Rattus norvegicus: one gene and its partners. The main gene of each other region encodes a partner of the protein of the gene in region 4 in a complex. Links are inferred from orthologs where the notes say so. Each region holds a gene or a part of one and is shown on either strand. Other genes may lie near its edges.

Region 1 (8,049 bases), on a different chromosome or scaffold from region 4:
CCGACCTGGAACGCTCACTCGTGGTTTCCATCATGTCCCAGAGGGTCCAGCTGGATGGTCCAAGACATTAAGAACCCGGAGCCGAAGACGGGCAGTGGCGGTACACGCCGTTAATCCTAGCATTCAGGAGACAGAGGCGGGCGCAGGCAGATCTCTGAGTTCGAGGCCAGTCTGGTCTACAGAGGGAATTCCAGAATAACCAAGGCTACACTGAGAAATCCTGCCTCCGGAAGAAAAAAAACCCAAAAACCCGAGACGTTATATTAGGAATGGATAGGGATCAGAGCTCCAAGCTCAGTGCCTGAGTGACATTTGCAAGGAGGGCGCAGATCCTGGAGCAGTAGGCGCGAGTGGAACTACAGCAGTTCATGTTCCCGCGAGTCCCGCCCCCTATACCCGCCCTCACCATAGAGGAGTGTTGAGGCGCAAGACGATGCGGGCGAGCGCGCGCCGGCGCACCGGGTCCGACAGGAGACCCATGGCGGGGCGCGGGGCTCAGCTCTCGCCGCAGCTTGACACCTCCAAGCGCAGGGTTCCTGTCAGACCCGGCGCCCCGTGCTGCCTTTATTTCCGGTCCCAGGATCCGTCGCGCCACTACGCTTGGTAGCGTAGGGGCAGATGTCGTTGGAAACCACATTCTGCGCATGCTCAGTATTGCAGTAGGCTGGAGAAATACAGGATGCTGTCACGGCCAGTGGGCGGAACTGGAACCTGAGGTTGTGAAGCTGCGGGCAAACAGCTGGAAGGGCAAGACACTGGCCGAACTCAAGACAGAACAGCAATAGCGTGCCTGCCTAAAGGTTCTTCTCGGGAGTGTGTGACACAGGTGGGTACGGAGCTGGAACAGCGAAAAGACTGTTGCCTGCTGAAGTGAGATATTGAATGACTGTTATAGCTATGACTTAAGGGCCCCCATGTGAACTGAGGATCCGTTGTTGAATCATTTCTATGGATGTCATGAACCTTAAGTCAGTGGGCTGACTAGCACAGTGGGCGAGTTGGTGGCCAGAGGAGAGGGGTAGTGGTGGGTCAGAGGAGTTTTTCTAAGAGGGTCCAGAGGTAAGGGTCTAAGAATAAATGGCCAAGGGGCTGGGTGATTTAGCTCAGTGGTAGAGCGCTTACCTAGGAAGCGCAAGGCCCTGGGTTCGGTCCCCAGCTCCGAAAAAAAGAACCAAAAAAAAAAAAAAAAAAAAAAAAAGAATAAATGGCCAAGAGGCAACAAAGGTTTGATATCCTTCTAGAGCCCAAAGAGGCAAGAAAGGCCCAAGGAAAAACATTAATCCAGTGGTTCTTAACATTCTACTTTTAATAGAGTTTCTCATGTTGTGGTGAACCCCAACCATAAAATTATTTTGCTGATACTCCATAACTAATTTTGCTGTTATGTCATAGTGTAAATATCGGATTTGCAGGATATCGGATAGGAGACCTCAAAGGGGTTGTGACCCACAAGTTGAGAACCATTGCATTAGTCTAACCTTACATCTCTTGATGAGCACACATAGCCACCTCAGCCTTGCACTCATGTCTCTGAAGAGTTGTGTAAGCAAGGCACATTCCTTAGTCTGAGGGCATGAGTGAGGAACACAAGTGATGGGAGAAAGCGGACTCCATTTTGAGCCTGCTTGTCCCTTGTTTGAACTGCGATTAATAGAAATATCATAAACAATCCAGGAAGAAACTGCCCTGGGCTAGAGCCAATCAGAGAAATAGAGGGAAAGTGTCTAAAATTCCAAAGGTTACAGATAAATTGCTCATCATTGACCAATCCTTGTGCACCAAGATACCCCTTGCCAAATAAGGCAACTGACAGGCTGGAGACCCCCTCCCTGCTCAACCCTTGCTAAGTAAGGCAATCGCTATGCTGGAGACCCCCGTTCCCTGCTCAAACTAGTATAAAAACCTTGCCTAAATGAGGTTCAAGGTCTCAGCACAAATCTGATGCTTGGAGGATTCTGAGGGTCCAAGCTTAAGTGTGAATAAAGGCTTTGCTTTTGCATACAAATCCAGACCCCTGGTGGTCTTTGTGGACCCTGATATCTGGGCAGGCACAGCATGAGCACTCTTGCTCTTCCTAGCACAAGTGTTCTCTCCACTTAGGGACTGCAGTACAAACTGCTATGTAGGGCCCTGAGCTGCTTTGAAGTGCTGTACATTACAGTGTGTTCAGGAGAGGAACAGGCCTTTATTCTGGATATGGGGGGTTGGCCTCAGTCCCCCAGTAAGATAGAGGCCTCCTGCACATGCTGCCGGACAACACGATCCAGCAGAGTGTGCACATCCCGGGCTGCCTGGGCAGCAGCCTCGAGCACCTGCTCCAAGTGGTCTTCATGCAACCTCGAATCCATCTCAAGCAGTGCAATCTGGCCAGAGGCTGGCAGCAGGGCCAGGGCTAGCTGGGGCCCGCCAGCTGCTTCCTCCACGTGACTGAGGTCCGCTAGTGCTGTGCCATCCACAAAACCAGCCGAACATGCACACACAAAGTCCCGCATGGGTATCCCAGCATCCATCACTGCTAGCGTGGCTGCATTCACACATGCTGCATAGGTCCCACCGTCTGCTTGTAGCACCTGCAGGGGGCATCAGGACATCAGACATCTCATCCTCCAGCATCTCAGGCAGACCTCATCCCCTTAAGCCCCGCCCCCGGGGGAGTGGTTTGAGGCTCACCTGCACATAAATGTCTATCTGAGAACGTGGGTGCAGCTGTGTGAGGATAGCTGCCTCGAAGGTCTGGCGTAGCTGCAGCCCCATCTCACAAGACTTCCGGTCTCCATGAGGCCTTCGCTTGCGCTCACCTGTGCTGAAGGTTGCTGAACTGTACTGACAGTTCACTAGAGCCCGGTCAGGCAGAGCCCGTGACCGGGAGCCCCGGATCTGGAGGAAAAAAGAAGGAATGAGCCAGGGCCGCCTACCTCCTGGGTCACACTCGATGGCTCAGCCTTCCTCCTCTTCTTTCTAAAGTGCTTCAGAAAGCAGCAGCTACTTTGGTTCCAAACCATGGCAGGCGGTTTAGGGCTACACTTCGGTCTAAGCCGCACCACTGTCACCTTCCGCAAAAAAAACCCCTTTGTTCTTTAGTTGCTCCATTTCTTCCTAAATCATTCCCATCGTGGTCACCATGTTTACAAACATGTGATTTGACTGTGTCACCCACACACTAATATTTTACTTACCTTCCAGAAGCTTCTCATTACATGTAAAAGAAAATCTCAATTTCCCCGACCTTCAAAGCCCTGGGTCCTCATCTCCTTGGTTAACCACTCAACTTTATTTGATCTACTGTCCCTCGGTCTACCAGTAGTCTGGCCTAATGTGTTCTAGACCTGACCTGGCTTCCACCTAGAAAGCTGAGCAAATTGCTAGCAAACCTTAAAATGTGGGCTCATTGGTTAAGAGCACTGACTGCTCTTCCAGAGGTCCTGAGTTCAAATCCCAGCGACCACATGGTGGCTCACAACCATCTGTAATGGGATCTGATGCCATTCTGGTGTGTCTAAAAGACAGTGACAGTGTACTTATATATAATAAACAAATAACAAACAAACAAAAAAACCCTTAAAATGTGCATGTTTGCCGGCCTTGCTACACCACTGAGACAAAGCAGCAAAGGCAGGCAATTTATAATGTCTCTGTCTTGGGAGTTTACATTCCAGTAGAGAGACAAGAGACATGGAAGACTGAGGAAAATCGATGTAGCAGGGGCAGAAATAGCCTGGGAGGCCTTTTCCGGACAAGATGTCAAAACACTGGACTGAAAGAACAGGGACTGAGTGTAGCTTTGCCAGGATGTATGAGGCACCTCAGAGATGAAGAGGGCAGCCCAGGAGAAAAGAGGCCCACTGAGACGGAGGAGTTAAGCAGTAAGACTCATGTCCACTCCCACGATGTGCAGCCATGAGCCCCCAGTCCCTGCATGAGACAATCATAGTAGTTGTGGACAATCTGAAGCAGCCCCATATCCCACCCGTGGGATTAAAACAAAAACATAATCACATAACATAACTGGGTTCTTAAAGAAACCAATATTCTCAGTTCATCATGGGACCTAATACTTATACAAATTTGAGGGCCATGTTAGGGATGCAATTCCCCGAGAGGACTCAGAACTCGGGGTATAATTATATTCATGGCTTAGTGGATGTAACACAAAGGAAGGATTGAAATGGAAGTTAACCAAGGGAAAGAGCTCGTGAGGTGAAATCAGAAGAAGCCAGGTCCTCGCAGATGCACGCACATCATTTCCCCTACAACACGGTGGGACAACGTGTGTTGAGATGCTTTCTGCCAGGGAGGACCCCAGAAATTCAAAGATGGGATTTTAGTATACTGCTGCATAGGTAGAGGAGTTAAGCTGTAAGGTCTACTTCCTCGTCGTGCGGCCACGAGCCCCCAATCCCTGCCGCTTACTCGCCTCGTGAGGCCCGTAGACCACCGCCAGTGCCTTGGTGTTGCCCTGCTCGATATAAGCCGAGCCATCGGCCTGCGCAAACACGCCCATCCGCGCCTGAATCTTGCGCAGCTCCCCCGCGCGGCGACCGTCTATCCGGTAACCCTGATCGGACAGGAGCTCCAGCCCGGCCATGTTGCGCAGTCCTCGCTCCGCCTCCGAGAGCACGACCCCTTAGATGACCTGGGCTTCCGCGACTACGACTTCCGCCGGTCCGTTTCCTTTTCAGTCTCGGAGAGCTATAACTTCCGGTAAACTAGTCCCTTTCCGGTGCAAGGCTCGTAGCTTCCCCGGCCTGCTGAATGTACGAGTCACGTCGTTCGGTTCCGGGAAATCAAAGGCCCGAGCCGAGCTGGTTTTTGCAGCTTCTCCTCGGTTGTTGAAGTAGGTACGCCTTGAAGACAAACTTCTCTTTCCGGACGTCCTCGGTTTGTCGGAGGCGCTGGTCCCAGCGGAGACTATTTTTTTTTGGCCCTTTAAAAAACTGTATATCTATTTTTATTGTACGAATGTATTGAACAAGCATACCTGCTTGTATGTCTTTTCGTCACGTGTGTGCTCAGTGCTGCGGAGGTTAGAAGGGGGCAGCCACTGTGAGTGCTGGAATCTGGTCCTTCTCTTTTTTTCGTCTTTCGTCCGTGTGGTTTTTACAGTGGTCAGTTTAGCCAAGCACAATTTTTTGTTCCACATACACGTGATTATTATCTTTGTGGCTCAGTATTAGTTTAGTTTTTCTTTTTTCTTTTTCATTTGCTTGGTTAAATCCATAAGTTTCCCTCCCTTACCTTGGCCAGTAAGTTTTCTCTATAGCCTGGATGCAAGCACAAAGCGCCTGCGGTTGTCTATATGCACCTGTATAGTAGGTTTTGGAGTTCTGATTATTTTTAAAGATTCGGTCACTTAGTATACATTTGGGAGTGTTTTCACTCAGAATATGAAATACATAGTCCTGAGATTTTGTTGTGTTTGTTGGTGATGGGCCCTTTTTTGCTGTTGTTTGGTTTGCTTGTTTTTGGAGACAGGGTTTCTTTTTGTAGCCTTTGTTGTCCTGGAACTCCTTCTGTAAACCATGCTGGCCTTGAGATCACAGATCTGCCTATCTCTGCCCAGAGTGCTGGGATCTGAGGCATGTGCGATATCACCTGGTTGCTGTTGCTTTTTGAAAATCTTGATATGTATTTCAGGTTGGCCTCAAACTAGCAATCTTCCTACCAGAGCCTCCCTAGTGCTCTTATAATGATTATAGGTGGGACCGTGACACCTAGCTTGGAGGTATATTTTTATTGTTTGCTTCATACCTGTGGGGTAGATAGAGCAGATTATAGTCCCACTGAGTCCTCTTTAACAACCCTGTGTATTGTAGGAGCAGATAATTAAGGAATGCTATTCATTGTGGAGGGCTTGTGAGTCTTGATTCTGAGTATGTTGTCTTATTTTCTCACCCAGAATAAATAATTTTGTGGTGGTTTGTTTGTGGTGTTTTTTTTTTTTTGTTTTTTTGTTTTTTTTGTTCTTTTTTTCGGAGCTGGGGACTGAACCCAGGGCCTTGCGCTTCCTAGGCAAGCGCTCTACCACTGAGCTAAATCCCCAACCCTTGTGGTGTGTTTTAAAATAAGATCTTACTATGCAGCCTCAGTGTAGCGGGTCTTAGCTACTTTGTGGGTTCTTTTCCCAGTCGTTTATCCCTCCCGGTTTTACCTCCTGTCACTAGATAGGAGAGGAAGGGACAGGAAGGAGGAGGGTGTGGGAGATCTTTGAATCTAGTTTCTTCCTTTCAGTTTCTTCTTTGAGTACAACTACCAACAAGCAGCAGCCACCCCCGTCGATTGGAGCTTTCGCATTTTTATACTCTCTGAAAAGTTCCCAGAATTCCAAAGTCACACAATCACAGAAACTATCTGCAGCTGGCAAAACCACGCCTCCGCAGAGCACCAGGCAAATCACAGTCAGCTGCTGTGGACAGTCTGAAGCAGCCCCACATCCCACACCTGGGGTTAAAAAGAAAACAAACGCTTATATTTCTGTGTTTTTAAACCAACATTTCAGAATTCTCATTACACCCCAGCTGGCGTAGAACTCTCAGAGATTCTCCTGCGTCTGGGTGCTTAGTATTCCACTGACAGTTTAAAAAAAAAAGTTAGCTATTCGTGCTAGTGGTTGCAGGTGGAGGTCTGAAGGCACCTTGTCAGTCCTTTCACACCATCTTTATGTGGGTCCTGGAACTTAGGTTGCCAGGCTTGGCGGCTAGTGCCTTTACCAGCTTGATGATCTTGCTGACCTTCTGTTGTTGTCATTGATAAAAGATAACACAGATTCGCAGAGAGGACACTGAGACGGAATTGCTCTCCAATGAGCTTCATGAGGAGAGTTACAGCACCATTGTCACAGACGGCAGTGAGGAGGCCCCTATGGAGGAGACTATTCAGAAGCGTTGGCTCTGGAGAGATGAGTGTGACATAGAACATGACAGGTGTCCTGAAGGGAAGGGACATTCCGTTCTGAAGGATTAGGAGAGTTAGAACATCACACCAGCCAACTGAGGTGGCTCAAGCCTTTAATCCTAGCACTTGGAAAGTGGGAGCAGGCTGATCTCTGAGTTCAAGGCCAGCCTGCTCTACAGAGAGTTCCAGGACACCCAGGGCTATGCAGAGAAACATTGTCTCAAAACAAACAAACAAACAAATAAAAACACCAGGACCCATATGTGGAGAGAACTCCTCCTTCTCCTCTTCTTCCTCTTCATCATCATCATCATCATCACAGAAGTTGTGGTCTAATGATCTCTATGCCTACACTGTGGCAGGCACACCCCCATTTCCCCGGATAAATAAAATGTAAAAAGAAAAAAGTCTAGAAGTAACTCAAAGCTGTCTTATGTCTTGGAAGGACATAGCAGCTTTTTATCAACTCTCTGTCCCTAAAGACTCTAGGGAACTGGAGCATGTAGAGGGACTGTCACCTACCAGTTATGTTACTCCTGCATTTCTAGCTCGGTGTATTCCAGTCTCTCACCTCAGTCCAGTACAATAGAAAGGAAAAGAGGGATACCCTCATCCCTGCCCCAGCACCTCTCCCTGTGTTTGTTTCTTAGTGATCATTGTTCTTAGCAAGGAGCTCACCCTTTTCCCCTGCCACCCCTCCCCCACCACCCAGCCCATTTAGTGCATAAGAAAATGTATGTCTATCCAACGATAAGAGTTAAAGCAGTGAGCTTAGTGTATAGAATACCGAGAGGAGAGGATGGGTGGGTCCCAAGGATCTCAACACACACACGCGCACACACACACACACACACACACACACACACACACACACACCCAGTACGGGGGGTGCATAGATCCCCCCACAAGTCCATGAGAGGACTGTCAACATTTAACCTCAAGAAGCAGGTAGGCTGGACGTACTGTGTTGGGCTGGACAAATGGTCTACCACGAAGATCCCAATCCTAGCACTCTCAACATCCCCCCTCACAGAGGTGGTATTTTCATGACAGCTGGACACCAGTTAGTAAGAGAGCCAGGCCCTGCTGATGCAGCTTGGGTGAGCCATCCTCCGTGCTGGACCCTCAGCAGCTGCTTCAATGTGGAGCAGGTCTTTC
Region 2 (7,181 bases), on a different chromosome or scaffold from region 4:
AGAGCCCTTGCTTCCTGAAGGAAAGGAATCCTCATGTTTATAGCTCTGATCTTTCTCTTCCTAGGCCCTCAGGAAGTCAGAAACCTTGAAGAAATCTCTCTCGGCCATGGAGGTCAAAGTGAAGGCCCAGTCTGCACCCAACAAGGATGTGCAGAAGGAAATTGCTGACCTTGGTGAGGTAGGGATGGCCTCCCTCTGTTTGTTCCTTATATCCAACCAAGGAGTAAGACCCTCCCTGTGCTTAAACTTTTTGTTCCTTTATTTGTTGTGCTTTTTAAAGACGGGGTCCTATTCTGTAGCCAGGACTAGCCTGAAAGGCACTCTACAGCTCAGGCTGCCCTCAGATTTACAGCTGACCTCTGGCCTCAGCATGTCCCTGCAAACCTGAGCCACATGCTGGGGGCTGGGGAAGGATATCATGTATCCATACTAACCTGGAACCCCTGGAATTTCTTGGTATGCTGGGCTCCCTGCAAGTCTTTGCAGGCTCTATTCACAGCTGGTTAGGACCAGGTCTCAATGGAAGCCCCCTTTATCACGCTACTTTCTGTCCAGTGATGGCTGCTGCGTTAATATAGTGACTAGTCTTAAAGCCAGCAGATATCTTGGTGGTTTCCTGTTTTCTCAAGCTCTGGCCATGGAAGACTTTGGTTCAGAGACAGAGGGTGTGGCAGAGTGGGCTTGAGTTTCACTCTACCTCCTATTGGCCCAGACCCCAGATGGTCTTCTGCTTTGGTTCCAGGTCCTGGCCACTGCAGTCATTCCCCAGTGGCAGAAAGATGAACAACGGGAGACTTTGAAATCCCTGAAGAAAGTCATGGATGACCTAGACCGGGCCAGCAAAGCCGATGTCCAGAAGCGAGTGAGTCTTGGTAGTGCTGGCAGCTGTAAGAGAGCCCACAGGTTTTCTAGAGAGAGGCTGACAGGGTTGAGAGTCTGGGCCCTTGGCCTAAGCCTTTCTCCTGGGCTTCTTGTAGGTGTTAGAGAAGACTAAGCAGCTGATTGACAGCAACCCCAACCAGCCTCTGGTCATCCTGGAGATGGAGAGCGGTGCATCGGCCAAGGCAAGCAGGGAGAGGGCCAGGGCCCTACGTCAGCTGGGGGGTGTTTGTCCTTCCAGCCTTGCCAGCCCTTTAATTTTGAGTTTGTGGTCACCTGAGGCCCACGGCTGAGCCATGGAGAGGTCTGGTGGCCTGAGAGGGAGGAGCTTCCTATGCTTAGGAGCCAGGGTCTTTGCACGGGCTCCTGGGAACAGGGTCTGCTCTTAGGAAATGGGATGGTGCTCTGAGGGCTGAGTTCCACAGACTCCCTTTAGAAGGCAGGGCTCCCTGCCCCAGTGCTGTGACCTAACACAAGATTCTCCCCTCAGGCCCTGAATGAAGCTTTGAAGCTTTTCAAGACACATTCTCCTCAGACATCTGCAATGCTCTTCACAGTAGACAATGAGGCTGGCAAGATCACATGCTTGTGTCAGGTTCCTCAGGTCAGAACTTCCTACAGCCTCAGTCCAAATCAGTCTGCAAACCCGTAGGCCGTGGGAAACACTATGTTTAGCTTCTCAAGGAGAAGACTGTGTTTGTGTGCATGCAGTCCTGATTAGAAACAGTTGATCTGTCGTTTGTCACACACACACACCCCCTTGGTGCCTTTTACCTCTTAGGCTTTCTTTTGGGTGACAGTATTCACTACTGGCTTAGCTTTTTGTCCTCACCTTGGCACTGGCCATAGCTGCTCTCCTGTAACCGCTATAGAGTTAGTCTTGGCCTGTGGTAGCTTCACCCATGACACAAATGGGTGTTGGGGGCTCCTGCCATTCCCCACCTCAGTCCCATCTTCTATGCTGACTACCATTTTCCCTTTCTGTCTTCTAGAATGCAGCCAACCGGGGGCTAAAAGCCAGCGAGTGGGTCCAGCAGGTTTCAGGCCTGATGGATGGTAAAGGTGGTGGGAAGGACATGTCTGCCCAGGCCACAGGCAAGAACGTGGGCTGCCTTCAGGAAGCACTGCAGCTGGCTACTTCCTTTGCCCAGCTCCGTCTCGGAGATGTAAAGAACTGATGGGAGGGAAGCCCTCTCAGGAAAGCATCTCCCCGACAACCAGTCATGTTCAGGTGCAGGAGTCTAGCCAGGAGCTCTCCTCCTGCCACGAAGACATTTGAGTCTTGGGACCTTTCAGCAGCCCTCCGTCCTGATCCAGCAGTAACTGGAACGCGCCTGGAGCTGTCCTGTGATTCATTGCCCCTTTCCATTCTGCTCTGAGCCATAATGTCAGCGCCATCTGTCTAAAGTCACTACCCAGGAATGCTACCTAACATCCTGATCACGTCTAGATGAGGTCACTCTGCCAACCTGAGGCTTCTAGGTCTGCAAGTGGGAAGGAAGCCTTCCACTGCAGAAAATAAAGGACCATGTGCAATACTAGATGATACCACGCTCTCCTTTCTCCTGAGGTTGACCTCAGCTCCCTATACATGCAGAATACAGGCTGTGTGTGGTTCTGGCTGGTTTCTGATTGATGTTATCACAGAGTACAGCCTCAGACTCCTGAACTTGAGGAACGGCCCCTGGGAGAGCAGAGCTAGAGGCAGAATGGGTGGGCTGAAATTGAGGCATTCAGTAAAAGGGGTGGAGGAAAATTCTTCTGAATTGCTTCACATGAAGAAGCACCATTCTTAGTCTCTTGGGACAACCTCATAATGGCTTTCATCATGTGTGTTCAACGTGCCTCCCCTTGAAGCTGCTGATATGAGGTCAGACAACTAATGTAGGAGGTATGAATGTAGAGATGTCTTCTAGTAACTGCCCCATCCCTGCTTCTTTAACCTGAAATAGGTTCAAGACCCTGGCTCGGCCCTAAAATGCAATTTATATGAATCTACAAACAGCAGGGTCTGGAAGCTGAGATACTGCTTGCTTATGACAGATCTCAGAGTGTTAGAATTATTATTCAGTTGTAGGAAGAGAGATAACGTCCATTTATTAAACAAGTGTTGAAGCAAGCCAGGGGACTAACTACAGGAATGAACAAAAAGTTCTTTTTTTTTTTTAATTAATTTATTTATTTCATGTACATGAGTATCCTGTACTCAGACACACAGAAGAGGGCATCAGATCTCATTACAGATGGTTGTGAGCCACCATGTGGTTGCTGAATTGAACTCAGGACCTCTGGAAGAGCAGTCAGTGCTCTTAACCGCTGAGCCATCTCTTCAGCCCGAACAAAAAGTTCTTACCTAGGGCAAGCTTATATAAAACAATCTGAATGCAAAATTCAAGGAATGACAGTAGATCAGGTCCTATGGAACCACAGGTCCAGCCAATACCTCGCCGTTCTTCCTCCATTCCGCTAGGTGGCAATGCGGAAACCTACCGCTCTCCCGATAGGCTCCGCGCGGGCGCGTATCTTTAAGCGAGCGGAAGAGCCGGTGCGCAAGGCATCCTGGCAGGCGGAAGTAGCTCGTACGCCGGTAGCCGCCATGCCGGGAGACCACCGCCGCATCCGAGGGCCAGAGGAGTCCCAGCCGCCGCAGCTGTACGCGGCCGAAGAAGACGAGACGCCCGCTGCTCGCGACCCGACGCGCCTACGACCGGTGTACGCCCGCGCAGGGCTGCTGAGCCAGGCTAAGGGCTCAGCCTACCTGGAAGCGGGAGGTACCAAGGTGCTGTGCGCCGTGTCCGGTCCGCGGCAGGCCGAGGGCGGTGAGCGCGGCGGCGGTCCCGCCGGAGCGGGCGGTGAAGCTCCGGCTGCTCTCCGGGGTCGCTTGCTCTGCGATTTCCGTCGCGCGCCCTTCTCCGGTCGCCGGCGTCGCGCGCCCCAGGGCAGCAGCGAGGATCGTGAGCTGGGTCTGGCTCTGCAGGAGGCTCTGGAGCCCGCTGTGCGCTTAGGACGCTACCCTCGTGCTCAACTCGAGGTGTCCGCGCTGCTGCTGGAGGACGGCGGCTCTGCGCTGGCCGCGGCCCTCACCGCTGCTGCGCTCGCCCTGGCCGACGCGGGAGTGGAGATGTACGATCTGGTAGTGGGCTGCGGCTTGAGCCTCACACCGGGGCCCTCCCCGACTTGGCTGCTGGACCCCACGCGACTGGAGGAGGAGCATTCTGAGGCCGGCCTCACGGTGGCGCTCATGCCCGTGCTCAATCAGGTGGCCGGGTTATTGGGCAGTGGGGAAGGCGGCCAGACTGAGAGTTGGACCGATGCGGTGCGCCTGGGCCTGGAAGGCTGCCAGCGCCTCTACCCGGTGTTGCAGCAGTGCTTGGTGAGGGCTGCCCGCCGGAGGGGTGCCGCCGCCCCGCCCTGATTGGAAAACTTGAGCGACGAGGATGCGGAGGACTGCTATCGCCCTTTTCTCCCAAAAGGACCAGCGCTGATGGTTGCCCGATTTCGCTGAGCTGAGACAGGAGAGTGGGGGAGTGGTGCGCACAGAACCAAAGCTCTGCACAGCTGCGTTGGAAAGAAGTTTAAAAGGCCGTTGGAAACACGATCCAGTTGGAGAAATTTGAAAGCAGCCATATTCCTAAGTTGGAAAGGACTTGGGCTGGATTTACTTAGTAAATGAGACCTGGGGCTATGGCCTTGTAAGGGATGGACCCTGTGCAGGCCAGCCGGCAGCTCCAATATAATTCTTTTTTTTTTTTTTTTTTTTTTTTCTGAGTTGGGGACCGAACCCAGGGCCTTGCGCTTGCTAGGCAAGCACTCTACCACTGAGCTAAATCCCCAACCCCAATTCTTTTCTTTTGAGAGGATGGACAAGGGGACTTTGCCTTCTCACTACTCGAAGTAAAACATAAAAACATTTTTATGCCTGGAAATAACATGTGTTGTGATTTTTCTTGAGTTAAAAACAATGCTGTTCAGAAATGGGTGTGTGTTGATTGTGTGTTGTCAAGGGTCCAAGTCATTACTGCCTTAAGTATTCCTGTTAGCCCGCTGTAAGAAAGAAAGGGTTATGTGCTTTGGAGGAGAAACCAGCTGCCCCGGGAGCATTGTCTAGGGCAGCTGCCGAGGGGATAAGACTGAGCAGATTTCAGGACAGCCAGAGCTACACAGAGAAACTCCCGTCTGGAAAAGTCTGGGGAGAGTTCAAAGGAGAAGCCTGGATGCACCCCTGTCCTTTCCTTTAGGACAAAACCATGTCTAGGAGTTAGGTAACTGAAAAGGATTATGCTCTGGAAAGAAGCCGGGTCCCATCCTGGTGCCTGTCCAGGCTTGGCTCCTGGGAACAAGGGTCTGGGCAGCAATGGTCTACTAAAATGCAGACCGCCTAATACTGTGGTATCATTTACAGCCTGGCTATTAAGGCAGAGCAGGCCTGACTGACCAGTATAGGGACTTATCCTGTTCTTCACAGGCTGAAGTGGAGGAAGCTGTGAGACTTATTAAGTATTCCAGGGGTCTGCTCAGTTTATGAGGACAAAGTAAGAACTCCTGACCAAGAAGAAGAAATACATATTTTATTTTTTCCCCCTTCTGACATGACTGTAGAACAAATCCAAAATTAGTGTTATACTTACTAGTGAGACTCAAGATAGAGACATAAATGCTCCTTTATTCTGAAGGATAGCTTATGGCTTCATAGAGCACATGGTGGGTTTAACCAAAAGAGGTTGCTTAGGTGGGCGCACACCATCAGGTTTAGTGTTGTGTGGGGAAGAGACAGTTTTCATTCCATGAGAGCTAATAGTGCCTTTTGGGCTCAGGGCCCTGTCGTGTGCCTCCTGCAAGACCACCACAGTTGAATGAAAATAGGCACTGCTGGTCTGTGTGGCTTCCCTACCCTGCCCACAGCAAGACTCATGGAAAAAGAGAGTTAAACCCACGACTACCGGGAGGGGGAGGTTTTCTGGGTGGGCTGGCTGTACCGTGCTTCAGACTTTCAATACCCAAGCTCCAGAAAGGTGACTTCAAGTCGCATGGGAGTGACTAGGGGGCCTTCCAAAAATACAAGGCAAGAAAACAAGCCACCCAAGAGTACCAGTGAAGAAAGTCTGGAAGGTTCCCCACCTCCTACTGGCTATTCTGGTCTGATGCGAGATTCTTCACCTGTGGAAAACAGAGAGGCTAGTTTAGAGGGTGAGAGGCACGGCCACGTGCTAAAATCTAGTTCCTCCAGCTCTCCTCCTTCCCGTTTTGGGAAGCCAGAAGCTATTCTAGATTCTCTGGGGGATGGGAGGGGTGCTGGAAAGTGTCCATTCTAAGCAAACCCTGAAGCCTGGAAACCCAGAACCCACCCGCAGGAGTAAACATTCTCCCTGTAGCACATTGGTTTTCAGGGCAGTTGTGACTGGGGCAGTAGGCGGGAACCCTCCTGAGCTCACCTAGCCTGGGGTAGGCAGGGCATCATGAGGGAATTCACTACCAACTCTGATCTTGCTAAGCAGACTTGGGAAGTGCTAAGCACTGATGATAGAGGAAGAGACAGGGCAGAGAAAACCTCAGGCCCTTTACTGCTACACAAAGGGCCATTGTCAGTCCACATTTGGATTGCCTCAGCCTAGGAACATGAGCATAGCATGCCACAGCCCTGGGGAGGCAACCAAAAGGATGAGGCCAGAAAGGGGGAAGAAATTCGTTTTTGTTGTTGTTGTTGATGATGATGATGTTGTTTTAGAGACAGGGTTTCTCTGTGTAGCCCTGACTGTCCTGGAACTCTGTAGACCAGGCTAGCCTCAAATTCACAGATTCACCTGCCTCTGCTCCTGAGCACCTCCTGGTTCAAGAAATCAAATTTTAATTAAACAAGCTTAAAAGGGAGCAGGGGGAAGTTTAGCATATGGAACATACCTATTCCAGAAGATGGTGTTTCAACCCAGAACTGACTTAACCCAAGTGTCCAAATACCTGACAGTAGCTGCTGGTATAGCTGAGCCAACCAAGCCCAGAGGCAAAGGGCTAAACAGCAGAGGAGAGGGGAGAAGTGGCTGTCCTAGGCACTGCTCTTGGGTATAGGTTGTAAGCCTATCTGTATCCTACTACTCTGTGTTCCTCCATAAACCAAGTCCCCTGTCTTTGCTCTCAGGCCACAAGGACCCAAGTAGGGTGAAGGAGACAGAACACTTCCTGATTACCCCCTGTCTGTGTGTTGCTCTGAGCTGTCTGCCTCTTGGTAGGCTTTCTAGGCCCTGGACATTTGGGGCTGAGTATGTTGGCATGAGGAGCCCTCACTTCTGGGACACCTGTTCTCTTCA
Region 3 (8,079 bases), on a different chromosome or scaffold from region 4:
TACAGACTGCTCCCTCCTGCTGTTCCTCCAAATGTCCTCTCAAATAAGTAAAGAAATCCGGGGACAATAAACAATAACAGAAGACTGCGCCAGCAGGAAAACAGATTTAATCAGCCACAATGACCTTTCCCTGGGGTACCTCACTTCTGCTGGAAGCTCAGCCTACCTGCTCAGCCAATGAGTCCAGGGACTGAAGTCAGCTGTGAAGGATTTGATTGCCAAAAAAAAAAAAAAAAAAAAAAAGCCAAGGAGAACAGCACGCAGGCAGGAGCCTGCCCCTCCCCCACCAGCTCCAGCAACCTTTCTGTATTTGCTGGCTTCAACTGACAACCTTCCTCATCCAGCTCACCTGTTTGTCCCCTTCTCTTCACCCCAGAGCTTCTATCTATCTTCTCTGTCCTATGAAATACACAGAGGAGCAAACACAGCCTCATAAAAGATGGAGATGCTTCGCCCAGGTCACCCTTTTTCTCTCCCAATCTCTGTGGTCTCGGCCCTCACCCCTAACATAAGGCAGGCATTCCCACTGCCCTTCTGTGCTGGGCCCAATTTGCACTGCCCTCAAGCTGGCATCTCCACAGCAGCCCTATGACATGCCCACCACTGGCAGTGTATGGAGAGCCTTGAGCTGTAGGTGGTTGCTTGCCCAAGGCTACACAACTGGCAAGTGGCAGAGCAGAGAGGCCAAATCACGTGGTACAGCTCTAGACTCCAGCCACTTAACCAGACCTGATTCCACTGGGAATTTATGTCAAAACCCTCTAACCAGGCATTGCCGACAAAATTTTTCTTTTGTAAGGGACGATCTTGCTATATAGCTCTGGCTATCCTGAAACTCTACAGACAAGGCTGGCCTGTAATTCACAGAGGGGAACAAGTACAGAGGGGGGTGTGGGGGGTTGAGTTGTCTCTCGATGTGCCAGAGTCCTGGGAGGGATGGGGAGGCCCCAAGGAGCTGATAGGGACGACTCTAGCTGAGACTCCCAGCGGTGGGGAATATGGCACCTGAAATGGACACTGCCTGTAGCCAGGCAAGACTCCAAGTGGAGGGACCCACCCACAGAACCTTTGACCCAGAATATGTCCTGCCTACAAGATGTGCAGGGACATGGATGGAGCACAGACAGAGGGAGTGACTGACCAATGACTGGCCCAGGTCGGGACCCATCCCATGGAACCAATCCCTGATGCTGTTAATACTTGCAGACAGGAATGCAGCCTAACTGACCTCTGAGAAGCTCAACCCAGCAGCAGATAGAAACAGATTCAGAGACACACCCCCTCCCCCGAGCCAAACATTAACCTGAACCTGGGTAGTCTTGTGGAGGAGTTGGGGGAAGGACTGGGGGCCCCGGAGGAGGATGGAGCCTCCACACGAAGACCACAGTCAATTAACCTGGACCCTTGGGGGCTCTCAGAGACTAAACCACCAACTAAAGAATGAGCATGGGCTGGACCTGGGCCCACACACACTTGTGTGGTGCTTGGTCTTCATGTGGGACCCCCAACAACTGCCTCTGAACCTGTTGCCTGACTGCGGATTCCTTACTCCTGGCTGGACCACCTTGTCTGGCCTTGGTGCATGGTACTGCAGTGACCTGATATGCTGGGGAGGTGAGAGGAGCTCCCCACTTTTCGAAGGAGAAGTGGTGGAAGGGAACGAGAGGAGCTGTGGGGGTAGCTGGGAGGAGAGGGGGTGCCGATATTCAGAGTGTGGAGTGAAAAAATAAATTAATGGAAAAAAAAAGACAGTCTCACGATGAAGCTCTGGCTGGCCTGGAGCTCAGAAATCTGCCTGCCTCTGCCTGGAATCAGAAGCACACATCACCACACCAGGCCTTAGACTTTTTTAAAAAATCTTTTTGAGGGGACTGGGGAGATGGCTCAGTGATGACTAAGAGCACTGGTTATTCTTCTAGAGGAACTGGGTTTAATTTCCAGCACCCATATGGCAGCCCAAAACTGTCTGTATTTAACTCAAGTTCTATGGGATCCAACACCTTCATTCAGACCAAACAACAATGCACATGAAATAAAAAATAAGGAAAGCATTTTTAAAAATCTTTTCGGGTTTTTTTTTTTTTTTGAGAGAGGGTCTCATGCAGCTCAAACTGGCCTCAAATTCCTTGCCTTCCACCTCCCAAGCGCTGAAATTACAGACACATGTCGCCATATCCAGATAAACAAAAAGCGCGGGGCTAGGAGCCAAATTCTGGACGTGGCAAGTGTGAGGCAAGCATTCTGCACTGTGGTACATCGCCAGATCGCAACAGCATTTGGAAGTGTTATCCTGCCCTTATCAACAATAGATCAAAAGAGATTCCGAGTTTTCTCGAGTGTTTTCAAGAAAAGTGGGCAGCCAAGCACCGTAGCGCACATCTGTAATATCAGGACTTGGGAGACTGGGACAGGACTATCTCCAGTTCGGATACCTATCTAAGCATCTGGGTGAGCTAAAGGCCATCCCAGATGAGTGGGTGAGATCCTGTCTCAAAAAAAAAAATAACGTGGGCAAAGGGTCCTGTTTGAACTTCTCGCTCTGTCTCCCTTCATGATCATCTTCTGTAAATGACAGTCATGGAAAAGTCCCTCGCCTTGAATTTTGGTCAGGGGACATAGGAAACAAACGAGTTTCTTGCTCGACTCCCTTTACAATTGGAATTTAAGTAATGTAGAACCCTATGAAAACCTGATCTGTCCTTTCAACCCCCGTCTCATCCCTTACTCGTCTCCTTCCATCGAAGCCCGCAAGTAGCTGCCTTGCTTTTGCTCTAAAGGGAGCCTTCCCTTGAATTTCTCTTCAAAAAGTTTCCCGGTCCTTTTCTTTCTGAATCTGCTCTTCCTTCACAGCCCGCGGTGCCCCACGCACACTGTAACAATAACAGTTACGTCTCTATTTCTCCCCAAGAAAGACACTGTGGGGGCCAGGTACTCACGAATCTAGCCAAGCCCCGAGCCCCAGGTCGCCCCAACAGCAAGAGGGCAGCCTGGCGCAGGCCACGGCTCGGCCTCCAGATCTTGGCCGCGGACATCGCTACCGCCATCTTGGCTAGTAACCACTCCTCCTTTCTCAGGAGATAGACATGCGTCTGTCCCATCAGATGCCTTATTCAAATCTCAGCACCACTAGGCCAACGCACTATTTTCTTCCAACCGCCTAGCAACAAAGACGTAGAAATAAGTAAGTTGACCATTTTTATTCTTTAAAATTGCTCCAGTCGTCTGCTTGGAGTTGTTCCAATATCAGGCAATAAAAAGGACAACCTCACTTGAACCTCCAGGGTTCAGGGCCCGGGGCCTTGGGCAAAATGGGCCTAGTCCAAGTCCTGCCCCTTATTCCCTATTCTCCAATGGCTTTGCCAGAATTGGGAGGTGGAGGTGGGCAGGACCAGATTGTTAGTAAACGCCGAGCCACGTGCTAGGGCCACTTCGGGAGTGCCCTAGATTGGCGCTTGCGCGGTAGGTACACGGCCGGTAGAACTGCGCGTGCGGCTGAGCGGAAGCTACGGTAGGAGCCCCAGCGCGCGTGGTCAGCGGCTATGGAGGGAGCAAAGCGTGCAGACGCCAAGGTACTCACTGACACCGGAACAGAGTCCAGCCCTCGAAGTCCAGTCTGCAGCCTCCGGCACTTTGCTTGTGAGCAAAACCTGCTGTCCCGGCCGGATGGATCTGCTTCTTTTCTGCAAGGTACGACTTTAACAAGGTTTAACTCAGCGCGCGCCATCCTCACCGAAGAAGGGTTTTTGAAGAGCGGTTACTGTGTAGTGTGCAACCAAGTACGCCCACCTCCTTGGAGAATTTATTTCTAGATATTGCGTATACCCACCTCCCGACTCGAGAAGAAATGATTTGGCCAGGCTGGTCAATACCTCTTGGAAGAAATCCAGGGCAAGACCCCTCTCCTAAGAGTGAATATTCCAGAATAGGTGTTTCACCAAGGCAAATATTATCCTTGACTAGATTTCTTAAAAAACACTTCTGGATCCATACATCATCGGTTGAGGCTAAGGTGTTTATTTGCATAAATACCCTTTGAGACAGACACATCACCACTACTGGTTTAAATATAATTACTGTGGCAGGTGATATACCTAAGTAAATGCTCTGAAAATTGAACGTGATCCTCCCATCCTGGGCTAACAAGTAGCTCCCCTTCTCTGGTCCCATCATTTGAGAAAACATGCCTTTCCTTGGTATACACGTCTCATCAGGGTAAATGAATAGAAAGAAAAGAGAGATCTCGAGGCTGAGGCCCACATAACCCTGTATCCCAGTCCAGCCAACCAACTTTGAGAGGTCATGGGAGGGTAAAAAACTACCAGAGTAGACAAATGAAGAGGACAAAGATGGAGTTGACAATGGGGAGTTGTGTTTGAGATATTAAGAGCTGATCACTTTATGGCTAGTAAGTTAGTGTGGGGTAGTGGTGGGTCAGAGAGAGCAAGAAAGGACAGTTAAGACAACTGTTCAGGCATTTTCCTGGGAAGGGATCTGGTAGATGGGACAAGAGTTGAAGACTGACAGGAGCTTAAGAAAAGAAATAACACCTTTAGTCACAACACTTGGGAAACAGAGGCAGGGTCTCTATGAGTTCGAGGCCAGCCTGGTTTGTGGAGAGGAGTTCCAGGAAACCCTGTCTTGGGGAGAAAAAAAAAGGGAGACAACCGGGAACTGGAGAGATGGTTTGGTGGTTAAGAACACTTGTGGCTCTTGAAGAGGACAAAGTTCAGTTCCCAACATCTATTCAGGAGGCTGTCAAGCACTTGTAACTCAGGAGCTAGGGGATTAGAAGCCTCTGCATGCAGGGACACACACACACACACACACACACACACACACACACACACACACACAGAGAAAGAGAGGGGGGGCTTGCACAAGCATGCATGCACATAATTAAAAATAAAATAAATCCTAGGGACTGAAAAGGGGAGAATTTCTGTAGCCCCGTTGTAGAGATGGTGGGAAAGAAGAGACTATTTTGCTTGCCGAGAGCACAGTTTATACAGCAGAACAGGAACAGCTACTGTGTAGCTCTAGTAAGCACCTGAGTCTAGTTGGGTCACTTCTGGTTTCAGGGCAGATGTTGGCGCTAAGACCCTGTCCCATTGGGTTTCCTTGGAAAAGCACCCGCAGATGTAATAGTGTTCTCATCCCAGGCTGGCTCCTGGTTTTGCTCACTTGCTAAACTCAGCGTCTCCTGTCTCTCGAGATATAAGAAATAGAATGGGAACCCTTCCATGTTCTAAAACTCTAAACCACGGGGCCCTGGTGCAAATTGGAGACCTTGCAGACTTTCAAAAAGAATGTTGCAGATGGGGCTGGAGAGATGGCTCAGTGGTTAAGAGCACTGACTGCTCTTCCAGAGGTCCTGAGTTCAATTCCCAGCAACCACATGGTGGCTCACAACCATCTGTAATGGGATTTGATGTCCTCTTCTGGTGTGTCTGAAGACAGCGACAGTGTACTTATATATAATAAATAAATAAATCTTTTTAAAAAAATGTTGCAGACACATCTGACCTCAAAGGCTCCTGCAAGAACACCCTATGGGAGGGGGCGTGGCATCAGTGAGCAGTGCAAATGATGGGTATATGTGATAAATGACACACTAACCCTATTACTTCATAGCTGACCTCATTAGGCTCCTCTTGCTCTAATAAGGACCATGACCAGAAGCAACCTGTGGAGGAAAAGGTTTGTTTGGCCTACATACCCCAAGTCCATTGAAGCAGGAACTGAACCATGGAGGAGCCCTTGCCTTTCATGGCTTGCTCAGCCTGTTTTCATTTATAACCCAGGACCACCTGCCCAACAGCAGCGCCGCCCACAGCGAGTGGGACCCTTCCATATCAGTTGTTAATCAGTGAAATGCCTTGGGTCCGGGAGTGTGTGAATTCCCCTGCAGACTTGCCTACAGACCCTTCTGATGGAGGCAGTCCCTCAGTTGCCTCAGTTGAGTTTCCTCTTTCCAGGTATGGCTAACTCGTGCTGAGTTTACCAAATGCAAAGCAAAGGAAGTAACTAGCCAGCACAGTGTCTTACCTTACAAGCAAAATTGATAAAAAGAAAAAAACCCAACAAAAACAAAACCGATGGTACTGAACCCCTAATCCTAGCAGCAGGGAGATAAATAAAGGCAGGAGGAGCAGCTCGTGCCAGGGTCACTCAGCTGCACAGCATGGGCGAGGCCAGCCTTGACCACACAGAACCTGACTGCAGAAAGTCCAATGGAGGGCTGGAGAGATGGCCCAGTGGTTAAGAGCACTGACTGCTCCTCCAGAGGTCCTCAGTTCAAATCCCAGCAACCAACCACCTGTAATGGGATCCGATGCCCTCTTCTGGTGTGTCTGGAGACAGCCACAGTGTACTCATATAAATAAAATAAATAAATCTTTTAAGGGGCGGGGGAAGGAAGGAAGAAAAAAAAGTCCAGTGGAAACCTACAGAGCCCCGGAAGCTGCCCGTGTAGGTTTGTCATCCTATTTTCTGCTTTGGATTTAGCATGAATGCCCCACCACAGAGTGACATCCCTGAGCCCTCAACTTTTAAATGATTGATTTCCTATGGATGTCCCCAGTGCCCGAGCAGGACAGAAGAGTGTGAACTTCCCAAAAATGTAGTTACAAATGGTTGCGAGCCATCTCTCCAGCCCCAACCTGTGATCCACTGTACACATACATTTTATCAGTGTGCAGCTGTGCTGTAAAGCGGGAGTTATGTCAGAAACGTGGAGACTGCTGTGCAGTGCAATGCCTTCCTGTCGTAGGGAGCCTCTCTGAAGCCTGCAGACATTAACAAACTCCTCACACAAGGGCCAGTAAGACCCGGACGGGACCAGAAGCCAGACTTTTTACTCTCCAGACCCATTTGTAACCACTCTGGGAAAATATGCAGAAATTAAGACCCCCCCCTACACATCACAATCTTTTTTTGTTCATTTGTCCTTTTAAAATGCTTTTACTAATATATTTTAATTATATCTAATAAGGGATTTGTTTGGTTGGCTTATGAGATGGTCTCATGTAGCTCAGGGTGGCCTCAAACTTAGCTCGGAACCAAGGATGATCTTGATTTCCTGATCCTCCTGTCTGTCTCCCAAACACTGGGATGTGTATGTACTTCGGGGGTGAGAGCCATGTGTGTGCCAGTGCCCATGAAGGGCAGAAGAGGGTGTCGATCTCTCGGAGCTGGGTGATGTGGTGGTTGTAAGCTGCCTGATGGGGGTGCTGGGAACTCATTTCTAGTCCTCTGGGAGAGCGGCGTGCATGTTGACACACCACCACCACCCAGCCATCCCTGCGGCCCCAACTGTCTCTAACAATTCACCATGGCTGAGGTCCGCAGTAAGCTCTGCCCCTGCTGACCAGTGTCCTGCATGTTTGAAGGGAACTGCTTCTCTTTAAAGTCCGTGTTTATTTCATCTTCTTGTGCGATGCTGAGACACATGGCCTCCTGCTGCTGTGAGACCCAGTCACCTGATCGGCACAGAAATGCCCTGAGGGGGGGTTGGGGATTTAGCTCAGTGGTAGAACGCTTGCCTAGCAAGCTCAAGGCCCTGGGTTCGGTCCCCAGCTCCTTAAAAAAAAAAAAAGAAATGCCCCGAGGAAGACAGTGCCCCTGCTCAAGTGGTGGGTGATCCCCGCCTAAAAATGAGAGAGCAGAGGAAAGAAGTGCTCAGGGTGGCACAGAGTAACCAAGGCCTCCCTCGTGTTCCCCCAGGTGATACCTCTGTCCTGGCTGGAGTCTACGGGCCGGCCGAGGTGAAGGTCAGCAAAGAAATCTTCAACAAAGCCACCCTTGAAGTGATCCTGAGGCCGAAGATCGGCCTGCCCGGTAACTGGACTCCACTGACCCCCACCCCACCCCGTAAAAAAAGGAACCCGGCTCGTCAGGACCTCCTGAGTCCTCGATGCTCGAATGTCCAGTCTCTCTGCACTGCTCTCCTCCCTCTTTGCCCAGCCTTTGATTCTGCTGCACTGGAATGGAGTCCAGAGCACCACGTCTGTGAGGCAGAAGCTCCTCCAGGGTGGATTCTGGTCGAGCCCTCTGCAGAGCTTAGGCTTCCGGGATCCGCAC
Region 4 (8,233 bases):
CAAATGGCCCATTAGCAAACAGACTCAAATAGAGCTTACACCGTTTTTCTTCATTGTAGGAAGGCACAACAACGGACAGCTGTTTTGTGGGCGAGTCCCAGATGCTGGGTAGAGCTTCCTTCTGGCCTCTGGCATTGAGGAAGAATTTCTCTTCCTCATGTCGGTGACATGGCGGCATTTTTGTAGCAGTTATGAATGCCACAATGGAAACCTAAAGGCAGAGTGAGAAACAGCTGACAGTGTTCTAATGTTTGTTGTTCTAAAACACTACTGTTTGCAGAATTTGGGGCAGGGGAATATATAGTCTCAGGTCTGGTTCTTTTACAGCTCTGGAGGTGATTCTGCTGCTACCTGGCAGACAGCCCCTCATAGACTGACTGATGACTGTCCTTGTCCCCGCTGGTGACTCCCTAAATGTTTCAGGAGGCCTTGCTTCCACTTTCCACTCCTTGGGTCTCTGCTATGCCAGATCTAAGAGTCAGCCGACCCTTACAAATGAACAAGGTACCACTACCTGCCTGGGGCATGTATGTGAGAGGACAAATCTATATGGCAGCTGTACCATGGAAGGACTCAACCCACAGCAGCAACCATAATGCTTAAGAAATGTATTCCGATTCTTTTCCTTAATTTGAATTGAGAACACAGCATCTTCTGAGTAACATATAAGACTTGTAGGCTCCTGGGGCTGGAGAGACAGGTCAGCTGTTAACAGCACTGGCTGTTCTTACAGCAGACTCAGGTTTGGTTCCCAGCACCACATGGCTGCTCACAACCATCCATAACCCGGGTGGCAAGGAATCTGGCACCCTTTTCTGGCCTCTGGGCACTCGAGACATGCACACATTGCATATACATACATACATCACTCATGCCCAGAAAAATAAAAATAAATACTAAGAAACAAATTCATGGGTGCCTTTTCCATGCACTTGGGAAGCTGGCTTTGGAAATAAGCCATAATTTATGTCACCATTTTCATTGGTCAACTTTGTTTCAAAATGAGCTATACAGGTGTGTAATTCTACTCGTAGTGCTTTGATGACTCTCTTTATGTGTGTACGGGGGAGCACGACAGCAGCCACACCGGAAATGAAAGACTATGAAGGCTCAGTGGTTGAGAGCAATAGCTGCTCTAGCAGAGGACCCGCTTCAGCTCTCTGTACCCAAACTATCAGCTCACAACTCTGTTTGAAAGTGCAGCTCCAGGAAACCCAATGTCTCCAGATTCTGAGCACATTGTGACTGTCTCACACCAGGAGAGGGCATCAGGTCCCATTACAGATGGTTGTGAGCCACCATGTGATTGCTGGGATTTGAACTCAGAACCTTTGGAAGAGCAGTCAGGGCTCTTAACCACTGAGCCATCTCTCCGGCCATGTCTCCAGATTCTGATCTCATGTGCGTACACACACACACACACTTAAAAAAATAATAAAAATAAAAAGGTGGTCTGGAGGTGTTCTCTACTGTCCAGATTGTGATTTCTGAATTCAGTTTTCCAGACAGCAATCAACACTTCTAAGAAAACAATTAATCGGGCTGCAGAGATGGCTCAGCGGTTAAGAGCACTGACTGTTCTTCCAGAGGTCCTGAGTTCAATTCCCAGCAACCACGTGGTGGCTCACAACCATCTGTAAAGAGATCCGATGCCCTCTTCTGGTGTGTCTGAAGACAGATGCAGTGTACTTATATATAATAAATGAATAAATCTTAAAAAAAAAAGAAAACAATTAATCCAGATCTGGGGTGGGAAGGCGTACGTCAACACAGCATATCATACAGAAAGCAAAGTCCATCTGTACCCACAAGGGCTGCATCAAAGGGGACAGGTGTGTGTGTGTGGGTCACCTGAAGGTGCTTTTCCACCTATGAGAAAGAAACTGCAGCATCAAAAAAGGAATCACTGTAATGAATGAAAACAGAAAAATGTAAGTCTGTAACATTGCAAAAAAAATGAAAGCTGGCCACCCTTTTACGATGTCAGGGAAACATCTCATCATCTTAAAAACCTGTACTTCTGCTGTTTCAGGTGACTGGGTACCTGAGGACTTTTCATTTAAAAAAACCAAAACACCCCAAAGTCCATCAAAAAGTCACACACGTGCACTTAAATCTCCAGATGCCACAAGAAATTTGGAGGACAAGTTAAAGAGGATGTGGAAGGTCGCTGTGAAATCCATTCCGGCAAACTCGAGAGTATTTAAACTGACAGGGTAATTGGAACCACAGAAATAACAGGTTTTAAAGGCAGTTGGAATCACCATATTGCAGTAGTTTAAAAAGGAGGTTCTGATAGAAATAAATGCAGATGATTTAGACACGAAATACTATTTGGAATTGTTTTTAAATTATTTTAAAAAGTGGGACACGGTGGAAAGAATGCCAGCAGGTGGCTAGAAAGCAGGTTTCAAGGTGCAACGCACTGCACAGCAAGTAGTAAATTAAAGGATACCTCTCCAAGCTCAAGCCAGTGGGATCTAGTACAGTCCACACAACCTCAGGTGCATGTAGTCATCTAAATCTGATAAGGGATTCAACGTAAGGTTGCCATGACCTGGACGTTGCCAACAAAGTTCTGATTTGTTCCAAGCCTTTAAAGAAGGTATTTTAGTAAAGGAGGGCGTTTGACTCACCCAGACACACAGCAACAGTCATCTGGCTACACCATTCCAAGACTGTGCGTGTACATAATATGGCAAAGTGGCAGAGGCCTTCCTGACCACCTGTCTAGCCATCTAGTCCCAATACAAGAAAGTTTTTCAAAATCAGCTTTCTGAGTTACAGGCTCCTTTTCAAACTATGTGGCAGAGTTCAGTTGGCAAGTAAGTCCTCTTCTACAAATCAACGGGGTGGGATCTGCTACGTTTCTATAGGAATGGCAAAGAAAACGCTAAGGTGCCTGATTCTGGAGAAACAAACAAACAAACAAACAACAGAAACAAAAACCAACAACTGGCCAAAATTAATAGAAAGGGATCTGGGCCTGTCTTTTGTTCACCCATAGTCTCTGTCTCTAGCCTTATAGATCTACTGCTCTCTTTCCAGTTGCAGTACGTACGGGAGGCCCAAGAATAAGGCTGGGGAGTGTGGTGGGATGTGACAGGCGGGGGTTCGGTGGCAGGAGCCCCGAGAAGCTGGGCAGAGGCTCTGGGCACCCAGATAAGGTTCCAAAGGGGGAAATAAAGGTTCAAGGATTTCAGGGAATCTGAGGCCAAGGGGGCCAAGCACGAGAGGGAAGCGCGGAGGGGACACCCGGAGCACGGGACTCCACCACGGTCTCACCAGAATGAGCGCGGCAGCCGCCAGCGCCACGCCGAGCCCCACCAGCTGCAGTAGCAGCGAAGCCATCCCGCAGCTCCACACTTGCGGAAGCGGCGTGCGGCGCAGCGCCCCGCCCCATCCCGACCCGCAGGAGAGGCCGGACTGGCCCGCGCCCGCCGCCCGCAGCGCCCCCGCGCGGCTCCGCTGAGGATTGCAGACCGGTCCCCGAGTGTGGGGAGGAAAGCACTAGATCTGTGCGAACTGACGAAGCTACGGGCCTCACCCACACGCCGCGCAGTGCTGCCATCTAAGGATGCCCGGCGCCGTGGAGTGTTTTAGAGTCACCCCTTTCCATTTCGCGCGTCTGCGTGTGTGTAAGGATGTTTGTGCACGAGCGCGCACGCCCGTGGGGACCCGGGCGTGGGACCCCGGGGGTTGGCGTTGCAGGCGGTTGTGAACAGTATCGACCCCGGCTCTTCCCCACAGGCCTGATTCTAACTAGGTACGAGCGGGACGCTCCGGGTGGCAGGAGCTGGTGTTGATGCCCCGTGCGCCGGAGAACAGCAGCCTCCGGCAGCACTTGTTTAACCCAGGATTCCAAACAGTGCTCTGGGCTGGAGCCACGCCTACCAAGGGGAGGGCGCAGGCGCAGAGGGCTGCGCAGGCGCAGTGCGAGCAGGAAAAATGGCGGCCGGGTTCAAGTGAGTGGTAGCGCGCGCAAAAGAGGCCCTGGTGCGGGTGTTGCGCGTGTTGGCGGACTGGGAATCCTGAGGGCTGCGGGAGGGCTCTGCCCATTGAGGCGCTGAGGGACAGCACATCCAGGACGACCCTGACCTCTTAACCGAGCGCAACGCCGCTCTCAACGCAGTGCCGCCTTCGGAAGGGACTGAAACCTTTGGGGGCGCTCTGATTAGACCCAAAGCTGCCCGCCCACTCGTGCAAACCTTAAACTCGTGTCTGCGAGTGCGTGCACTTATACCTGCTGTAACTTTTGGCCGCGTGTAGTTGATGTGGACAAACGGAGCTCCAGTAATTGTAAAAATACACTCTTCCGTGGTAAATTTGTAGACACTGGCAAATGCGGCTTACGGAGTGAAGTCACGCTAAGTTCCCCGCTTCAGAGCAAACGTGATGTGACTGACACCCAGGATAACCCTCTTCTAAGTGTGCCAAGGGCCTCCATTCCTTTTGGCACAGTTAAGGTCGCCGCTGAAAACTGGTTGCTACTATATGGCTTTTGTAAATATGGTTAACACAGTTTCAAAAGCCCGAACTTGTCGGGATTGGTGTCTCAACCACCACACTCTTAAATTCTGGGTTTACGCTTTAGGATGCACTGACTCAGACACATTTTAAACATGTTTCAGAACTGTGGAACCGCTGGAGTATTACAGGAGATTTCTGGTGAGTAGAGGTGATTTCGTACTTTAGAGCATGTGTTTTCTGCAGCCTAAGAAATATATTTATGTATTATATAATACATAAATAATCTGCTTCCTTATAAACATTTAGAAAGAAAACTGCCGTCCAGATGGAAGAGAACTTGGTGAATTCAGAACCACAACTGTCAACATAGGTGAGGATAAGCTTCATTTCAGTTGGGTGGGACAGCCCCCACCTTTATTTATCCTTGGTGCCAAATAGTTTCCCGCCAGCTCTGCTATGTCTAAGACATTTGGTGTTAAGAGATTTTTATCATCACACCAACCTTGTAGTTGATCCAAACGTTAGTTCAGATTTGGAGACAGAAGGGAAAAATTAAGAACGTTAAGTAGTAATACGGCCTGAACTTGTCGAGACAACTGAAAGATTTAAACTACTTTGTAGGAGGCTTTGTGCTTATTTTCTTCTTTTTTTTCTTTAATTCTTTTTTTTTTTCTTAAATAAATATGGTGTTTACCTTTCCAGGTTCGATCAGTACAGCGGATGGCTCTGCTCTAGTGAAGCTGGGGAACACCACAGTCATTTGTGGAGTTAAAGCAGTAGGTTTCCTGTATGGCTGTAAGCGTCGGAATTCCAAATTAGCCTCATGCTTAGGAGTGGCTCTTAATCGGGCTGATATTTAGAATGATATTCCATCAAGTTTGTTTTTTTAAACATGTGCGCATCATTAATTCTTTATAAGGCAAATAATCAAACCTGAATCCTCACTACTGCATACTGAAGATTTTGGCAATGTTGTTTTTGAAATTGAGATTGTTTTGTGATCCCATTTAGCCACTGATAGATTTTAATCGTCAGTCACACAGGAGTAGTGAGTGTCTGCTGACCTTTTTAGGTGTTCTACAGATTTACCAATCTCTGCCCCTACGTAGAAGGTAGGCAGAGTCTAATGACAAAAGCTGCGCTTTCTCATGTTACCCTGAGCAACTCTCCTCGTTTAGGTTTGTGGTTAAGCTGAAGTGATAAGGATCAGAGCTCATACTCTTTGCCAGGTTTCTATCTGAGACTTACTGGCACTGTCTCACTTGGGCGCCCCTGGGAGTAGGCAGGTACTGCTTATCTGTCCGTGTGTCAGCAGAGAAATATGAAAGATAAGTAACTCGCCCAGTCTCTCAGTCTGTTGTGTGGATCTGCAGGCACTGGGCTAGTTATTGCTATATTCCTCACTTCTGGCCACTACTAACTCCCTGGCCTGGTTGTGTATCACTTGGGGATTAAATTCAGATTTCAGCTGCTGAACAAGTCACAAAGAGTGGGCATAATCCCACCGATCCTGGTTGATGAGCAGCAGAGTTTGATTATACTGTCCTTTAACCCCCCTGGGAGCCATTGGGAAGGCAGTGCCAGCATCCTTAGGGCCCCTGCCAGATGCTCAACGTAATCTAACTGGCTGAAGTGGTCTTTGGTACAGCCTCTGTGAATGGCCAGAATATCATCGTGTTGAGTGGCTTCTCTCACTGGAATATATTATTTGCTTTTGTAGGAATTTGCAGCACCACCAGTAGATGCCCCTGATAGAGGATATGTCGGTGAGTTAAATAGTCTTAAAATTTTAACAAATAATCGAGTAAGTTGAAAGCTAACTTGTGATGAAATAGATAGCAGTTCCCAGTGCTCAGAAATAGAACGCCCCCACCCCTCACCCACAAAGCTTTGTGCTTATGAGAAGATAGCAGAGGGGACATCACATGAACTTCACTTCCAACCCTGTGTGGACAGTTTTTATTTACATACTCGGTTGCCCTAATTCAAGGAAGCATCATTGCAGATTAAAATCCTGCCTGCACTCTATTTAAAGTACTGGACAATATTTTTGGTCTTGGATTATCTTTTCCATAAAGTGGGAAGCAACATTTAAATCTTTAATAGTTGGATGTGAGCAGAGGACTTTCCTACTACAGACTGAGGTATCTGAGGGAAGAAACTCAAGAAACTATGAAGCCTGTGGTTGTTTTTAAGCACTGTGCAAAACATTAAGTGTAATATTTTCCTCTGAGCTTGGCAATCTGAGAAGACTAATTCTAACACTGCCATGTTTAACACCTGAAGAGTCTACCCGTGGCTAATCCCCTGTACTGTGAAGCAGTTCCTTTACCAGTTGCCCCAGCTGTGGGTAAAGTTGAGTTCACAGCTGCAGTGTCTCTTTCAGTCCCTAATGTGGACCTACCACCGCTGTGTTCATCGAGGTTTCGGACTGGACCTCCTGGAGAAGAGGCTCAAGTAACCAGCCAGTTCATTGCAGATGTCATTGAGAAGTAAGACTGTTAGGATAAAAGTTTAACCACCGTTCGTTATCATGTGTGTTTTGCCTTCACATTTATTGTGTTCTTTATCATTAAATCAAGCTCACAGATAATTAAGAAAGAGGACTTATGCATTTCTCCAGGGAAGGTAAGAACAGATTCTCAAGTGGCTGTGTGGTCTAATGTGGTTGTGGGAATTAATCAACCTTAAACCCTGAGATTTTAGAGTTTAGAAGGAATTCTGTAGAAGTTCATTTTACTCTGTATTGGTCTAAATTAACAATTGTGTCATAAATCTTTTCCAGCTGGGTTTTATTTAGTTTAATGAGATAGTCACACTGTGTACCCAGCTGGTCTTTTACCTCCTCCTTCCCAGCCTCCCAAATGCTGGGATTACAGGTGTGTGCCATCCTGTCCAGTTATCAGATAGCATGTCTGGGGAGCTAAGTTTTCTTTCTCTCCCTCTCCCGCCCCCACCCCTCTGTTGCTAGTTAAAAAAAAAAAAAAATGCTTTTATCCTTTACAGCAGATCAGGTTTTGCTTACGCTGATATTTATGGATAGCACATAGTATGTTCCTACATTGGTTTCCCTTGCAGATTTATAGGGCTATTACTATAAAATCTTTGTTACACAGTAGGGAGCAGATATTATAGTTAACATAGCAGCAAGAATAAAACTTCCTCTTTGCACCTCTGGCTCTATTCAGGGGTGTAGTCAGGTCTGTCTCTTGTAGATTTGCTAGTCACAGCCCAGCTTTCCTAACCTGACCTGACCACTTTGACTTCCTACTTAAAGGTTTAAGGAAAAAAAGAGATCTTAGACTTTCAAGACTAGTTTTCTCTAACCAATGGTTCTGTAATTCTTCAATTAATTGAGGAAAAAGCACTATGGTGTTATCAGGTCTAATTTCTTCTGTGTCAATTATTTTAGCTTGCTTGGGTTCTATACTGTGACCTTATTTGCCTAGACTACGATGGGAACATTTTGGATGCCTGCACATTTGCTTTGTTAGCAGCTTTAAAGAATGGTAAGCAACCTTAATAAAGACTATTTTCCTACAAATAGAGTCCAGCTGGTCCTTACCTACTCTTCCCCTCCCAAATGCTGGGGTTACAGGTGTGTGCCATCCTGTCTGGGAGCTGGAGTGAACTCGGAAGTGGCTGTGTGGTCCAACATGGTAGAATTTAAAGGTTTTTATGGACGTCTTGTATCATTCACGATATTTGAATTGTGAGACAGAGTATGCCATAGCCCAGGGCGCCCTTGAACTTTTGATCCTTC

Evidence for each region. Proteins that work in one complex are often made in the same cells at the same time.
Region 1: Exosc8 (region 4) and Exosc4 share a complex: the UniProt entries of both Homo sapiens proteins name them as parts of the RNA exosome core complex. The link is inferred for Rattus norvegicus from reciprocal best matches to the Homo sapiens genes EXOSC8 and EXOSC4.
Region 2: Exosc8 (region 4) and Exosc6 share a complex: the UniProt entries of both Homo sapiens proteins name them as parts of the RNA exosome core complex. The link is inferred for Rattus norvegicus from reciprocal best matches to the Homo sapiens genes EXOSC8 and EXOSC6.
Region 3: Exosc8 (region 4) and Exosc5 share a complex: the UniProt entries of both Homo sapiens proteins name them as parts of the RNA exosome core complex. The link is inferred for Rattus norvegicus from reciprocal best matches to the Homo sapiens genes EXOSC8 and EXOSC5.

What each region holds. Positions count from the first base shown.
Region 1 is NC_086025.1:109,925,065-109,933,113, reverse strand, and holds Exosc4 (exosome complex component RRP41), read right to left. Parts: upstream 4,624-8,049; 5' UTR 4,586-4,623; coding exon 4,415-4,585; intron 2,878-4,414; coding exon 2,671-2,877; intron 2,571-2,670; coding exon 2,211-2,570; 3' UTR 1,881-2,210; downstream 1-1,880. Other genes in the region: Gpaa1 (glycosylphosphatidylinositol anchor attachment 1 protein), read right to left, coding at 407-480. UniProt on the Homo sapiens protein: Non-catalytic component of the RNA exosome complex which has 3'->5' exoribonuclease activity and participates in a multitude of cellular RNA processing and degradation events.
Region 2 is NC_086037.1:55,928,080-55,935,260, forward strand, and holds Exosc6 (exosome complex component MTR3), read left to right. Parts: upstream 1-3,443; 5' UTR 3,444-3,475; coding exon 3,476-4,294; 3' UTR 4,295-4,858; downstream 4,859-7,181. Other genes in the region: Aars1 (alanine--tRNA ligase, cytoplasmic), read left to right, coding at 65-178, 743-862, 978-1,064, 1,370-1,483, 1,872-2,057; Hnrnpcl1 (heterogeneous nuclear ribonucleoprotein C-like 1), read right to left, coding at 6,001-6,036. UniProt on the Homo sapiens protein: Non-catalytic component of the RNA exosome complex which has 3'->5' exoribonuclease activity and participates in a multitude of cellular RNA processing and degradation events.
Region 3 is NC_086019.1:90,292,453-90,300,531, forward strand, and holds the start of Exosc5 (exosome complex component RRP46), read left to right. Parts: upstream 1-3,456; 5' UTR 3,457-3,539; coding exon 3,540-3,687; intron 3,688-7,722; coding exon 7,723-7,836; intron 7,837-8,079. Other genes in the region: Bckdha (2-oxoisovalerate dehydrogenase subunit alpha, mitochondrial), read right to left, coding at 2,937-3,044. UniProt on the Homo sapiens protein: Non-catalytic component of the RNA exosome complex which has 3'->5' exoribonuclease activity and participates in a multitude of cellular RNA processing and degradation events.
Region 4 is NC_086020.1:141,082,789-141,091,021, reverse strand, and holds the start of Exosc8 (exosome complex component RRP43), read left to right. Parts: upstream 1-3,924; 5' UTR 3,925-3,948; coding exon 3,949-3,965; intron 3,966-4,631; coding exon 4,632-4,668; intron 4,669-4,776; coding exon 4,777-4,840; intron 4,841-5,172; coding exon 5,173-5,246; intron 5,247-6,190; coding exon 6,191-6,236; intron 6,237-6,856; coding exon 6,857-6,962; intron 6,963-7,052; coding exon 7,053-7,098; intron 7,099-7,882; coding exon 7,883-7,979; intron 7,980-8,068; coding exon of another isoform or gene 8,069-8,100; exon of another isoform or gene 8,101-8,233. Other genes in the region: Alg5 (dolichyl-phosphate beta-glucosyltransferase), read right to left, coding at 40-211, 3,286-3,351. UniProt on the Homo sapiens protein: Non-catalytic component of the RNA exosome complex which has 3'->5' exoribonuclease activity and participates in a multitude of cellular RNA processing and degradation events.